Linked DNA regions of Notamacropus eugenii. The protein of the gene in region 2 purifies or fractionates together with the protein of the main gene of each other region. This does not show direct contact. Links are inferred from orthologs where the notes say so. Each region holds a gene or a part of one and is shown on either strand. Other genes may lie near its edges.

What was found.
Region 1: the proteins of FTSJ1 (region 2) and WDR6 purify together in Homo sapiens (affinity purification with mass spectrometry; 3 studies listed by BioGRID and IntAct, with this or other methods). This does not show direct contact. The link is inferred for Notamacropus eugenii from reciprocal best matches to the Homo sapiens genes FTSJ1 and WDR6.

The regions. Positions count from the first base shown.
Region 1 is NC_092872.1:7,373,781-7,381,375, forward strand, and holds the start of WDR6 (tRNA (34-2'-O)-methyltransferase regulator WDR6), read right to left. Parts: upstream 3,402-7,595; 5' UTR 3,368-3,401; coding exon 3,172-3,367; intron 2,560-3,171; exon of another isoform or gene 2,389-2,559; coding exon of another isoform or gene 2,364-2,388; exon of another isoform or gene 2,348-2,363; coding exon of another isoform or gene 2,329-2,347; intron 1,137-2,328; coding exon 1-1,136. Other genes in the region: P4HTM (transmembrane prolyl 4-hydroxylase), read right to left, coding at 5,305-5,522. UniProt on the Homo sapiens protein: Together with methyltransferase FTSJ1, methylates the 2'-O-ribose of nucleotides at position 34 of the tRNA anticodon loop of substrate tRNAs. Required for the correct positioning of the substrate tRNA for methylation.
Region 2 is NC_092876.1:91,477,253-91,483,807, reverse strand, and holds FTSJ1 (tRNA (cytidine(32)/guanosine(34)-2'-O)-methyltransferase), read right to left. Parts: upstream 2,309-6,555; 5' UTR 2,166-2,308; coding exon 1,182-2,165; 3' UTR 887-1,181; downstream 1-886. UniProt on the Homo sapiens protein: Methylates the 2'-O-ribose of nucleotides at positions 32 and 34 of the tRNA anticodon loop of substrate tRNAs. Requisite for faithful cytoplasmic translation.

The sequences.
Region 1 (7,595 bases), on a different chromosome or scaffold from region 2:
CACACTACCACCAGGTAGCTGAACAGCATCCAGCAGATTGTAGGACTGGTAATTGATATCATCCAAGATGAACTTCCACAGTTTAACGGTCAAGTCGTAAAGATAAACAGCTCCAATATCAGTCATCACGAGAAGCCATGAAGGACTGATCAACGCTAAGGCTTTCGGAGATCCCTTCTGTGTGAATGAACCAAAGCCTAGTGCTAAGAGACTGTTGCCCAGAAGCCTGTTCCCTTTAAGGGGCCAAAGTCTGATGCCCGAATCAGCTCCACCTGTGACCACCCAGGCTTGTGTTTTGTGGACAGCCACAGCTCTGATGCTACGACCTCTGTGTCCTTTGAATGTCTGAACTATTTCACCAATGTAATTCCATACGATGCAAGCTGAATCCTCTCCAATGCTAATGATATAGTTGTCCAGGAGCTGGACAGACCACACCCTGGACTGGTGACCATAACATACCAGGATACACTGAGCCGAGCTGTGAGGGGCCCTCAGGTCCCCCACTCTCCAGACCCGAATGCTCCGGTCGTCAGAAGCCGAGGCTAGAAGACCTTTGCTCTCCAGATGGCAGATGCTGAAGATGACCCCACTGTGCCCACTTATCCTTCTCTCTACTCTGACTGTTCCTTCCTCATTGGTGAAATCAGCTGGGCGCCAAATCACAAGCTGGTTAAAGACAGTTCCAGCCACCAGCACCAGCTCCTGCCAGTCCTTCCCTACCAGGCAAGCAGAATAGATAATACACACCTCGTCACACTGTACCTCTTGCAAGGCCTGCTGATGCATGTAGTCATAAAGGACCACTGAGTTGTGTCCCAGGGCGAGGGCCAGGGCAGAAGTGGCTTTTCCAGGGTCCTGAAGCCAGTGAAGGTCCCAGATCCAGTCATGAAGCTCACAGAGCTGGGAGAGCCACGTCAGCTTCACTGCTCCCTCCCCCCAGCTCAATGTCAGCACACGGAGGCCTTTGCTTCCAAAGACAGCCAAGGTTGTTGCTGAGGCCTGGGGAGACGCTGGGCTCTGAAGTTCCCTGATGCCATGGATGTGATAATGACAGAGGACACTTGGCACAAACTGGGTTGCTATAAGCTGCCCACCAGTTTCCAAACAATAGATTAGTAAGTTGGGCCCTTCACCTGGACAGCAAAAAAGTAAAATAAAATCAAGGTTACCAACACATACATTCAGAATAAGATGAAGTCCCTGTAAATATGACCTTAGAGGAAATGTGGGGTTCAAGTAGCAAGTGACCTGGGGTTCTGAAACCAGGTCCTCTGCCTCCAAGCCGCCACTGGCCAAGAGTGTATGACCATGATTCTCTTGCCTCCCTGTCCTATTGGGACTCAGGCCTGGCCAAGCCCCAATCCTGGATTACTTCCACCATCTGCATCCTTCACTCCTATTCACGGGCTCCTGAACAAAACTGCTGATGAGGCCTACTGCTACAACAGAAGCCAGGCAGACACTCTTGGTCCAGGACTGACTCTCACCCACTGTCCACAGTTGCGTTTCCAAACTTCCTCATCTCTCCAAGGCCTTAACTTAGTCCACCCTCCCCATTCCCATGGAGGCTTGCCTTTTTCTTTCCTCATCTTCTATCACTCAGCCATCTCCTCTTATCCCAGCCTCAGGTGAAGAGGTGGCATCTCTAATTGCCAAGACAAGCCCTTGATCCCATTCCCTCCCTGTGACTTGTCCCTGCTATCATTCCCAGCCCTCCTCTTCAAGCTTTCCCTATCTACTGGCTCTTTTCCTGCTGCCCCAGCCTTGAAGAATGCTTGATCCAAGTGCCCCCTCTCGCTAACATTTATACATTTCCTCATCGTGGCTAAGCTTGAGAAAGGAGTCTACAATCAGTGCCTCTCTTCACTCTTCAAGACCCTTTGTAAATTGACTTCTGACTTCATTCAACTAAAACTGCCCTTTCTATAGTCACGAATAATCTCTTGATTACCAAATTTAAAAGCCTTTTCTCAGCTGCCAAGATGATTCTTCCAATCACATCACCTCTCAATCAATCAACATGCATTTTTTAAGGGCCTCCTGAAGGCTAGATACCGTGCTAAGCGCTGGGGATATAAAGAGGCAAAAGACAGCCCCTGCCCTCAAGGGGATTGCAATTTAACAGCTTCTCTATTCAATTAGCTCCAAGTTCTGGGTCCAAAGGAAAGAGTCTTTGTGTGATCCTGAGCAGGTCACTTTCTGGGCCTTAGCTATCCTCCTCATCTTCCAGACAAAGTACTAGGTGTACCAGTCCCTATTGCCACCGGGATCAAAGAGAAACTCCAGCTGGCATGTAAGCCTTCCTAACGTCTGGACCCTTCTTACCTTTGATGCCCTTCCACATACTCAGTCACACTGACCTACTTCAGGTCCGCAACATGGCATCCCAGACGTCTGTGCTTTTCCATTCGCGGAGGGCTCCTGCCCTCTCACCTCTGCCTCAGTTTCCCTGATTTTCTCCCAATCCCGCCTTTCCCAGCCTTCCTGGCTGCGTGGGGGGGGCTGTCTGTCTCGTGCGCACCCCGTAATGGGCCGGCCGTCCCCTTCTTCAGAACGCGCGCGGCTTCACGGCATTGCACGGCCTGTGCCCTCCTCTGCGTGCCCACCGTTTGGCACAGTAAACGCCCAACGATGCTTGGCGTGGGCCTGGCAGCGCCTGACTCCGGGCACAAACAGCCCGATGTGTGCGGGGCCAAGGGCATCGCGGAGCCACGGGACCCTGGTGGCCCGTCGGGCAGCCTTCCCCGAGGCGGCTGGATTTCTGCCAGGAGCCCAACGCCCCGTTTTACCCCGCGAGGAGCTGCCTCGCCAGGCTCGGGGCTGCCCTGCTCTGCCCCTCGGTCTGGGGGCGCTCTGGGCACGGGAGTCTCAGCTCCTTCTGGCCCCCAACGTTACTATCGCTTACGTGCCCAGGAAGCCAGGGGCCGCAAACGGGCAGACCCGCCGGGGGGCCAACTAAGGGCGGGAGGGGCCGCCCCCGGCCCAGGTCCCCGTGCGCGCCCCTGGCCTACCCCTGCCTCAGTTTCCCGTCGGACCCAGGCTGCTCCCACAGCCTCGTGGGCCGAAGGGCGAGCTCGGCTCCGCGTGCCGCCCACGGAGGGAGAGGTCCTCGGCTTCCCGGGGCCCGCAGCGCGACGCGGCCCGGGGGTCCGGCCCGAACCCCCTTACCTGCCACAACGCGGTCCCCCACAAAGCGCAGGGCAGTGACCGGCGCCAGCAGCAGCAGCGACTCCGCCTTCCCCGCAGGAGGCGCCATGGCCCTGGCCGAGGCTCGGAGGCCGGCACGCCGCACGCACGCCGCACGCACGCCGCCCGGCACGCACGCATGCACGCACGCCGGGGCCACGCGGGCCCGAGGCGGCATCGCAGCCAATGGAGGGGCCCGTCGCTGGCCGCCTTCCCGGCCCGAAGCTCCCGACGCCGGCCGTCATTGGCCCGTTTCATCGGTCTTGCGAGCGATTGGAGCAGTCAGTGGGAGGCCGTCCTACCAGGCGACCAATGGGCCTTCCCCCCGCCACGTGACTCTGGACGCTGGGTACCTGGGAAGCGCCGCCCTACGCCCCCTACCCGGTCTGCTGCCAGGCCCCTTCCGCCGCCGGGCGGCCCGTGGCTCACGGTGCCCCTCGTTCCGCCAGCCCCGCAGGAAGTCCGGGCCGCTCGAAGCTTTCCCTTTTTACGTGGCCGTTTTGGAAGGCCGTGGGGTCCGCACGCAGCAGCACACCGAGTGGCGCAGGACGGGGGGCTGCAGCCCTGGGCGGCCCGCAGACCTGCCCAGGCCGGGCACTCCGAGGGTCCGGACCCCCCGGGGTGGGGGCAGGGCACGCAGCCCAGGCGGTCCCTCCCCCCGCCGAGCCTGGCAGTGGCCTCCCGAGTGTGGAGGACCCGAGTCTCTGGTCCAGCCCTCCTGAAGGACGCGTGTGTGGGGGTGCAGGAGCGTGCTTGTACCAGTCACCAGTGGCACGGGCAGGATGAGACGCAGCCGCGGTGACAGACCTGGCAAGGACCCGGCAGGGGCAGCGAGGGTCCCGACCTCAGAGGGCACGGGCACAGTGCCTTTTCTGAACGAGCCTAGTAGGCAGCCAGCGCCTCTGAAACCGCGGACGGGCCCCCCGCTGCCTGCACAGAACTCGGGTTCAAACGAAAAAGCAAACAGAACGCTTCATTCCGTAAAACTGTTACTATTGCACTTTAAAAGTTTCCCTTTTCCCCCAATAATTTATACTTCGGCATGAATAAAGCCTGTTTTCCCCTGAGAAGAAACCATTGCTACGCGCCCTCGTCCCGCTGCAGGTAAGGCTCCTGGTCCTGGCTCGTTCATCAGCACGAGGTGACCTTGGCCAGGTCACTGCTTCCTCAGCCTGGGGTCCGAGAGGGCCAGACGAACTCATCTCCAAGGTCCTATTCCGCTCCGCCATGATTGTCTCTCTCCCACATGAACCCTGAGCACCAGGAAGTCTGGCTTTGAGGGCTGCATTATCCTTACAGTGGGAAGACCTGAACACCCACCTTGGCCATCGGAACAGTGTGACAACAAAAACAAAAAGGAGCATTTCACTCAGGGATCCAGGTTCCTAGAGAAACTTAGGAATTAGCCAGTATTCTCCCACCCACACCTCCCCAAATCCCTGCCCTAGAACTCTTAAGCACCAAATCAGCTTTTTCTTTTTCCTGGTGACAGTGACATTTCTACAAATAATTTAAGGGCTTAAATTTTCCTCAACTATAGGGCAAGAAGGTGAGGATCAGATGCTGGCCTGTTTCCCTTCTTACAGACACACCAAGGACTTAAGGCAGACTTGAAGCTTTTCCCCATTTGTCGAACAGGAAGCTGCTGCCCTCAAAATGAACCGCTTTCTTCCCCAGCCACAGCCTGGGTTTGTACCGGGGAGCTACAAACTACTAGGAGATTTCTATGGAAATATGGGAACAAACGACCACACCCCCAGAGAAGGCTCCAGAAGCCACAGGGAGGTGAACCCATGAGGTGAACTCATTTGGACTCCCAGTAAATTCATTCTTTGAAAATCCTTTCAGGCCTTTTTTTCCTGGAAAAATTCCATGGACACAGGGCTGTAGGGCTCCTGTGGGTGCTCATGGCTGCCACATTTTCTCACTAATTCAACATTCGTATGAAAACCCCAAGCCTCATAGCTCAGATATCATCTCAGAGCCTTCCTGGCTGAAAAGGCAAAGAACAGATCAGCTTTCTGTTAAAGCAAATAGTGTACCAAGGCTGCCATGATGTCACTGAATGGGCTGCTCCAGCTTGGCCTGTGGCTGTCTCTGACCCCACCCCCACCATCAGAGCTCTACATGCACATTCTTGTAAGATTTGTCCACTGTCCACTCAGGCTGGGCCTCAAGCTCCTCCTGGCCATAACGGGCCATTTCCTGATGGAACCGGATCTGGCGACTCTTGCTGGGGTCTACATTGATCCAGTTATTAGCTATCCATTTGGTTCCCTGGGTGACCAGACAGCCACCATGCAACGAATATTCATCCAATTCTCCTACCCAACCTGGAGAAAGAGGGAGAGAGATCAAACAATGAGCCACCCAGCAGAAAACAGAGCTTGGATAGGGAAGAGCTCATGACATTAATGATGCATCAGAGCCATTTCGAGAAAGGACCAGGATCCAGAGCTTGTCTAGGCTCTCAAAGTAAAAGAGATCTGAGCCACATACAAATGCATGTACCTCTTTCAGTTACACAAGACTTCATGGCTTCTTGTCTTTCTAAATATGACCTCAGTTTTTGTCTTCAGCCCTTGTCCCTCTTCTGAGCTCCAAAACACTCCCAACTTCCCAACAGGCCAACCCTACCTGGATATTTCACTGGTGCCTCAAATTCAACATGCCCCAAACGGAGCTGATCTTTTCCTCCAAACGACCACCTCCACTGGGGAACCTCCAGTCAGTCTCACATTCATAACCTGGTGCCGTTACCTTCTCTTTCCTCTTCCCTGCTCCTTCCATATTCAGTCACTTAAAAGCATCCCGTCTTTTCCACCTCTCCAGCATTCCTTGCCTCCATTCTATTGCACTTTTTATGAACTGATTTGCCCCATTTGTAAGACAGCAACAGCTGTCTTCTTTTTTTACTACTATTATTTTTACCTCCTGTACTTAGCAAAGTGTCTGGGATATGGTAAGTGCTTCATAAATGCTTGTTGCTTGGTAGCCTGTACCTGAGCATAAGGCCTCTGCTGTTGCTCAGTCCTGTCTGACACTCTGTGACCCCATGGACCGATACTGTCCAGGGGTTTTCTTAGCGATGATACTGAAGGGGTTTGTCATTTTCTTCTCCAGTGGATTAAGGCAAACAGAGCTTAAGTGACTTGACCAGGGTCACTCAGCTAGTAAGTATCTGAGGTCACATTTGAACTCAGGTCTTCCTGACTCCAGGATCAGTGCTCTATTCACCAAACCACCTAACCATTCACTTTTACAATTACTGGACTGAGTGAAGATCAAATGTCTTTGCTCAGTACCCAAGGTCCTAAATCTGCTGCTGCCCTACATTTCCAAACTTATCTCATATTACCACCTCCCTGACCTGCCAAATGTCTTGTTCCTTGTTCATGATATTTCTGATACCCTACCCCAACCTATTCTAATAGCCCCTCTTCCAGTCTTATATGAGGACTAGTTTACCTGAATTCCTATCCATCCTTTAAATCCAAATTCAAATGTCATCGCTTCCATGAAGCTTGCCCTGATCTCTATAGTATTTCTCCAATGGTGCTGAAAAGAACCCTAAAATGCTCCAAGCTTTTTTTTTTAAATGGACATACATCTTTTGTTAATTGGCATTAAAAATAATCAGTTTATATGCTCAAAGGGCTACAAAAATGTGCATACCCTTCGACCCAGCAACATTGTTTCTAGGACTGTATCCCCAAGAGATCATAAAAACGGGAAAGGGCCCCACATGTACAAGAATACTTATAGCAGCTCTCTTTGTGGTGGCCAAAAACTGGAAATCAAGGAGATGCCCATCCACTGGGGAATGGCTGAATAAATTGTGGTATATGAAAATAATGGAATACTATTGTACTATAAGAAATGATGAACAAGAAGACTTCAGAGAGGCCTGGCAAGACTTATATGAACTGATGCTGAGTGAAAGGAGCAGAGCCAGGAGAACTTTGTGCACAACAACTACCACGGTGCGTGAACTTCACAGCAATGGTCTTCTAAGGCAAAATGCCTTCCACATCCAGAGAAAGAACTATGGAATTCAATTGCAGAATGTAGCAGATCATCTGTGTGTGTGTGGTGTGTGTGTGCGTGCGTGTGTGCATGCACATTGCGTTTTGGTTTGTTAGATGATATCTCCCACTCATTATAATTCTTCAACATAGCATGACTGAGGTGAAAATGTATTTAATAGGAATATATGTATAGAACCTATACAAAACTGCATGCTGTCTTGGGGAGGGAGGGGGAAGGTAGGGAGGAGGGAGGGGGAAGGTAGGGAGGAGGGAGGGAAAATAATAATCTAAGTTATATGGTAGTTATTGTAGAACACTGAAAATAAATAAAATTAGTTAATAAAAAAGATGAAATACAATAAATAATCTAAAAATTAA
Region 2 (6,555 bases):
CTGTGACCTAGGACTCTACTCCCATGTGAAGGGTGGGAACATTTCCCTTCTCTAGCCTGCAAAAACCTGTTCCTTTTTTCTCTGGACACTGCTTCACCCACATACCTGATAGTTTTTCAATTTAAAGTTTCCCTATTCAAAAAATGTTCTTTTTCTCCTTGACATGATTCCTAAGCATTTTGGACATTCACTTTTGTAATTTTTTTTTTACTTTGTAAAGAAAATTGGCTATTTGCAAAATTCTCTAAGTTTGAAATAAACATCTAATAAACAAAGCAAAGACGTAGCAAATAACGCCATGCTTCTCAAAGACTGTTTCTGACAAAAAAAAAAAAACTCAGAATAAAGAATAAACAACTTCTGAGAGATTTGAGTTAGTGTTGTGATTTTGCACCTAAGAATTTGTACTCTAATTCTGGTTAAATTTTAAACAAAGAAAAATAAAACATTAATCAAGTTAAATATAGAAAATCATAAAGTTAGGATAAGTCACTCAACAATCAACACCTGTGTTAGTTCCTATTCCAAGAAGCAAAAATCCAAATTCCCTCAACCACAGAGAGAAATCGAACCACCACAAAATACCTAAAAGTGAATGCTTGTAGAACTACAAATTACAAACATGACCCCAAAAGATAATAGAAAATACCTTCCTCTACTACTTTGCGGAGGTGGGAGCTTCCCCCAGTTTGTAACTTTGCATATATTTTCAGATTTTTACAAAGTAATGTGCTTTGCTGGCTTTTTTTCTCCTCTACTTCCTTTTGTTAATATAAATCTATTATTTATGGAATGGTTCACTGGGAGGATGGATATTAGAAGGAATTTAGGTAACAAAAAAAGACATCAATGAAATGAATTTTTAAAAAGAAAATAGACAAAGATCTAACAAAAACAAGAAATTTTATTTTATAAATGTAAATCTTAAGGTGTCTCAAATATATGTGTGTAAACATACACATATACGTGTCTATATACGTACGTATGTATAAATATTCTCCCTCACCGCATCCCACCTCTGCCAATTCCGACTAAAGGTCTGCTATGTTTAGGAGGAATAGCCAAAGGAAGAGCTTGCACTTGAGTTTTACACCCCCTTCCCCCCCCCCCCCCCGCCCCCGCTCCAGTGCAGTAGGGATGTTCCCAGAGGCCCTTTTGGGGGAGGGGGGAAGGAATCCTCCTTAGGGGTCCAGGGAAATGGAGCCCAGGGCTTGGGTCACAGCCTGCTCGCCCTCCTTCTCGGGCTGGGCAGCTGCCTGCTCCTGGGCATCCGGCAGAGCCCCGGGCTGCAGTGTGCCCCGGCCCAGACCCCCAGACTTCTTGAGTTTGCAGGCCTCTTGGTAGGGCGGCCGGATGGGGGGCTGGGCCGGCGGCGTGTACCGGTACTCGGGGCTCCCCTCCAGCTGCAGGGGGTAGGTGCGGTCCGCGTCATAGGCACTGAGGTCCCCGCAGGCCAGGAAGGGTACGATGAGCCGTGTGGGGCCCTCGAGCTGGTTGAAGTCGCCCTGGTAGCTGTGGTCCAGCAGGGGGTTCAGCATGCTGGGCACGTAGCCGGCCGGGAGCGTAAAGCCCCGGCACACGGCGAAGGCCTCGATGCTCGAGTTGCGGCTGCTCCTGGGCTTGGCACACACCACGTCGGGGAAGAAGAGGCGCAGCTGCGAGTAGAGCAGGGTGACGTCCCGGCCGCGGAAGATCTTGGCCACGAAGTTGCCGCCGGGCTTCAGGACGTGGATGGCGATGTTGAGGGCGGCCAGGAGGAGCTGCGCCTGGATGTACTCGTCGATGTCGTGCAGACCGGTGACGTCGGGGGCGCCGTCACACACCACCAGGTCCGCCGGCTGCCCCTCGAAGTGCCCGATGATCTCCTGCGCCGTGGACACCTTGGTGATGTCCCCCTGGATCTGCACCACCCCGGGCAAGGGCGCCATGGCCTGCAGGTCCACGGCCACGATGCAGGCCGGCGACCCGGAGCCTCCGAGCTTGCGGCTCAGCACCTGGCTCCAGCTCCCGGGGGCGGCGCACAGATCCACGGCCCGCCTCACGCCGCTGAAGAGCTGGAACTCCTCGTCCAGCTGCAGCAGCTTGAAGGCGCTGCGGGCCCGCCAGCCCTCCTCCTTAGCCAGCCGGTAATAGACATCGCGCTTGTCCTTGGACGTGCGCCCCATGGCGGACCGAGGGGACAAGTGCCCCAAGTCCCGACACGGACCGGGCAGTGGCCGGCCTGCGCAGGTCAAAACGGAAGTAGATACTTCCGCCGGCAGAGTCGCGAGTCACGCACCGCTGTGCGTGGTCACGCCAGAACGTGATTACGTCACTCACCCGACGGTGCCCTGTAAGGGAAGAGGCGGGAAGAGGGAGGGAAGACGAGGCGTCATGGCGCTTGCAATGTTGTGATTGGTACAGAAACCGTGGAGGCGGAGTGTAAGCCAAGATTCCAAGTATATACTTCCGTCTTCACCTTGCTCTTTATCGGGCTTATAACTGTCTGCAGAAGCCCCCATTCTGGGAGCAGTGGCAGCAGTTTCTGTGAAGAATGCCATCTCTCCTTCCGAGCCTATCCCGAATGTATTCGGTCTCCATCTTGTCCTAGTGTTGCCTCCCCCGTCAGACCGTGAGCTCTCCGACAGCCGGGACCTTATACCCAGCGCCTAGCCGAGTGCTTGGTCCAGAACGCGCACTGACAAGCCGGCAGGTGCCCAGGTTTGCACCATGGCCTCCCTACCTGCAGGCCTGGTCCGGGCTCGTGTCTGCTGCATCTGAAGGATTTGAGGACCAGGCGAGGCCGAATCCGGAGCCTAAGAAGTCCCGCCACGAGCGAGGCGACCCGGCCTTGGGCATCGCAACACAAGCCCCATCTCCTGTGAAAATCAAGTAGAAGGAATCAGTGCCCTCATCTCCAGCCTGGGGGGAAAATGTCCCCTGGATCTGCCTTGAGCACATGAAAGACATTCCATTCAGCATTTGAGTCCTGTGTAGTAGTGAGTGGTCATATGTGAAAATAGTTCTTATCTGAGTTTAGTTTGGAATTTTTTTCCATTGGGGGGAAAAATGCAGTTTAAACTGTATAATTTGCTGCTGTGAAGGAATTGAAAGAGTATATATATGTATATATATACATATATATGAATATATATACATACATATGTAGTGTTGTCTGTTGCATATTTCTGATGAGATAACAGAATAAGGAGAAAGAACATTTTCTCATCTATAGGTGGGGGAGAAGGGAGGAAAAAAAAGCTATAAGTCAATCTGGTTTTAAATTTTAAAACTTTTTATTTTATTATAGATTTGCATTTATTAAGTGCTTACTGTGTGCCAGGCACTGTGCTAAGCATTGGGAATACAAGTAGAAGAAAGCAACACAGTCATTGTAGCAAAGTATAATCGATGTGTTGTACAGTGAAACTATTAAGTTCGCATGATCTGACTGTTATATGGTCATTCTTTAAATCTTACTCAAAATTATTTTATACACACACACACACACACAGCCCACCTCACACGACATTTCTATGGATCTAAGCCTTCAGAGAAGAATCACTACCCTGTAGCTTAACTACACTCAAATTCAGTTGTGGATGAAATATGCACACTAGTCACTACTTAAAACCTTTCACAAATCCCCCTAGTTAGCCCTAATATGTTTTCTCTGAAATTTCCTCCAAAATATCCTGTATACAGCATGTCCCAAAAGACTTAGTGCAGTTCTAAAGCTTTACTAGCTTATTTGCACATAGTTCTTTGCATTCATATTGATGCTCCTTTAAAGCAGGGGTTGTTTTTAGCTTTCTTTTATATTCCTGCCACAAAGTAATCTTTTAATACTCTCAAGTCTACTCTAATGTGGGCAAATCCATACACAGCGATTACAATTAGGTCTTAAATATAACCACTTACTTAAAAATAAGGTGAAAGAAATAATAATGTCACAGGTACTTACAAGACAAATGAGAAATAAAAAAGTTAATATCTATGATGTAAAAAGAGCAAGTTCAACTAAAATAATAATTAAACAGATCAACATTCTTCATTTATAATATCCACATTGTCTCATATGGTTGATGTACTAGACGTATGTATCTTTTATTCCATCAATTTCATCTCACACCATTAGTTTTCTTATGAGATTGCCATACTTCTGGCTGCTTTTTAGTTTGGATAGCATAAGCTCTCACAGCCCTCATAATCATAACATTACTATAAACTCTAGAGCCTTCTTGGGCTAGATGATGGCACATTACCTAATATTTTATAATTTTGCCAGCTCTGGCTGACTCAGAAGCAGAATGTCTGTTCTCAGATGGCACAGTCATGTCAATAACAGTGGCAGGAGGCAGTGAGGTGCTATTTGATCTAGAATTATTAGGTCAGATCAAAGTGCTTCCCCTAGTCCAAGAACAATTAGATTCTCCTTAATCCCAGTAGCCTTTGGCAATCATATCTCCTTCACGAATGTTTAGAATGGCATTTTGCCAAAAATTACTAAAAAATTACTAAACTCTGCATGCTCTTTGACCCAGCCTTGTAACACCAACGTGATACCTATGGCAGCTGCTATGAATATACACACATATCTCCATGAATGGTTCACAAAATATAGCAAACTCCCTTTTTACAAGATAAAATTAAAATATGTGGTACACTGCTATTAGGATACCAGAAGCCAAGATTTAGTAAGGTACTCATCACCAATTCAGGCAGCACCAACATTACAAACAAGTTCTCCTAGGCAAGTTCATTCCTCTGCCTGCTTCTCTCTCTGCCCACACCTTTCCTTCCAAGCAATACAATATATATTGTTTCCAATCAAAGACTTGGCACTTGATTGGCTTAGTGAAGCTTGGAAATCAGCACTTAATTGGGGAAGGGTGGGAATACCTGTGACCCAGAGTCTAATTGGCTCTGCACCAGGGCTCTAATGAGAGAGAAAGATCTTATATCCCATTAACCTAACAGGCCTACAACTCAATGAGATGGAAGAAAGTGGGAAAGGTTCTATACATACAAAAATACTTGCAACAGCTACCTTTTTGTGGTGGCAAACAATAAAAACTTAAAACTAAGGGGATGACTGTCAATTGACAAATGGCTGAATAAACTGTGATACACAAATATAATTGAATAATACTATTTGCTCTAAGAAATGAGGAATAAGATGGTTTAAGAAAAGAAACAAGAAATGACTTTTATAATGTACTAATGCAGAGTGAGTGAGCAAAACCAGAACAATTTATATAATAGCATCAGTATTATAAAAAGGAATAATTTGGAAAGACTTAAGAACTAAGAGCAATCAAATGATAAACCATGATTCCAGAAGACTAATAAAGGAGAACACTGCCCAGCTTATGACAAAAAAATGATGGACTAATGTGCAGAAGAAGAAATACATTTTATATGACCAATGAAGTAATATATTTTGCTTGACTGTACTTATGTGATAGAAGAATTCTTGCATTCTTGTGGGTAGGAGAAAAAAATAAATGCGTGATAGTTGAATAAGATCTATTTTTTAATCACATTGTGGGTACACTTTCATGGGTAAGGTGCTGCTATTCCTATATTCAAACCACCCAACAGAGAATATTCTTGGTACCAGTTTCTTTTGTGGAAAATGGGCAAAGAGCAGAAAAAGGATCCTGACTATAGGGGATTACTATGGCAACAGGGAAGATCAAAACACAAACTCAGAAGATAACGAAGTCAAAACTGCTGCATTAGAAGCCTCAAAGATAAAATATGAATTGACCCCAGGCCATTGAAGAACTCAAAAAGGATTTAAAAAATCAAGTGAGAGAAGTAGAGGAAAAGTTGGGAAGACAAATGAAAGTGAAGCAAAAAAAAATGAGAGTGATACATGTAAAAAATAGTCAATAGCTTGCAGAAAAGACACAAAAAATACTGAAGAAAATAACACCTTAAAAACAGAATAGACCAAGAGATAAAAGAGGCTCAAAAATCGTGTGAAGAGAAGAATGCCTTGAAAAATAGAACTGGTCAAATGGGGAAAAAACAAAAGAGGTATGAAAGTCCACTGAAGAAAAGAATTCCTTAAAAAGTGGAACTGACCAAATGGAAAAGGAGGTACCAAAGCTCAATGAAGAAAATAATTCCTTAAGAATTAGATTCAGGCAAGTGGAAGCTAATGACTTTATGAAACAACAAAAAACAATAAAACAAAATCAAAGAATAAAAAAAAATAGAACATGTGAAATATCTCATTGGAAAAAGAACTGACCTGGAAAAAAATCCAGGAGAGATAATTTAAGAATTATTGGACTCCCTGAAAGCCATGATGAAAAAAAGGAGCCTAAACATCCATCTTCCAAGAAATTATGAAAGAAAACTGCCTTGATATTCTAGAACCAGAAAATAAAATAGAAATCAAAAGAATCACCTCTTGAAAGAGATTCCAAAATGAAAACTCCCAGGAATATTATACCCAAACTTCAAAACTCCCTGGTTAAGGAGAAACAATTGCAAGCAGCCAAAAAGAAACAATTCCAATATCTTGGAACCACAGTCAGAATAACATAAGATTTAGCAGTTTCT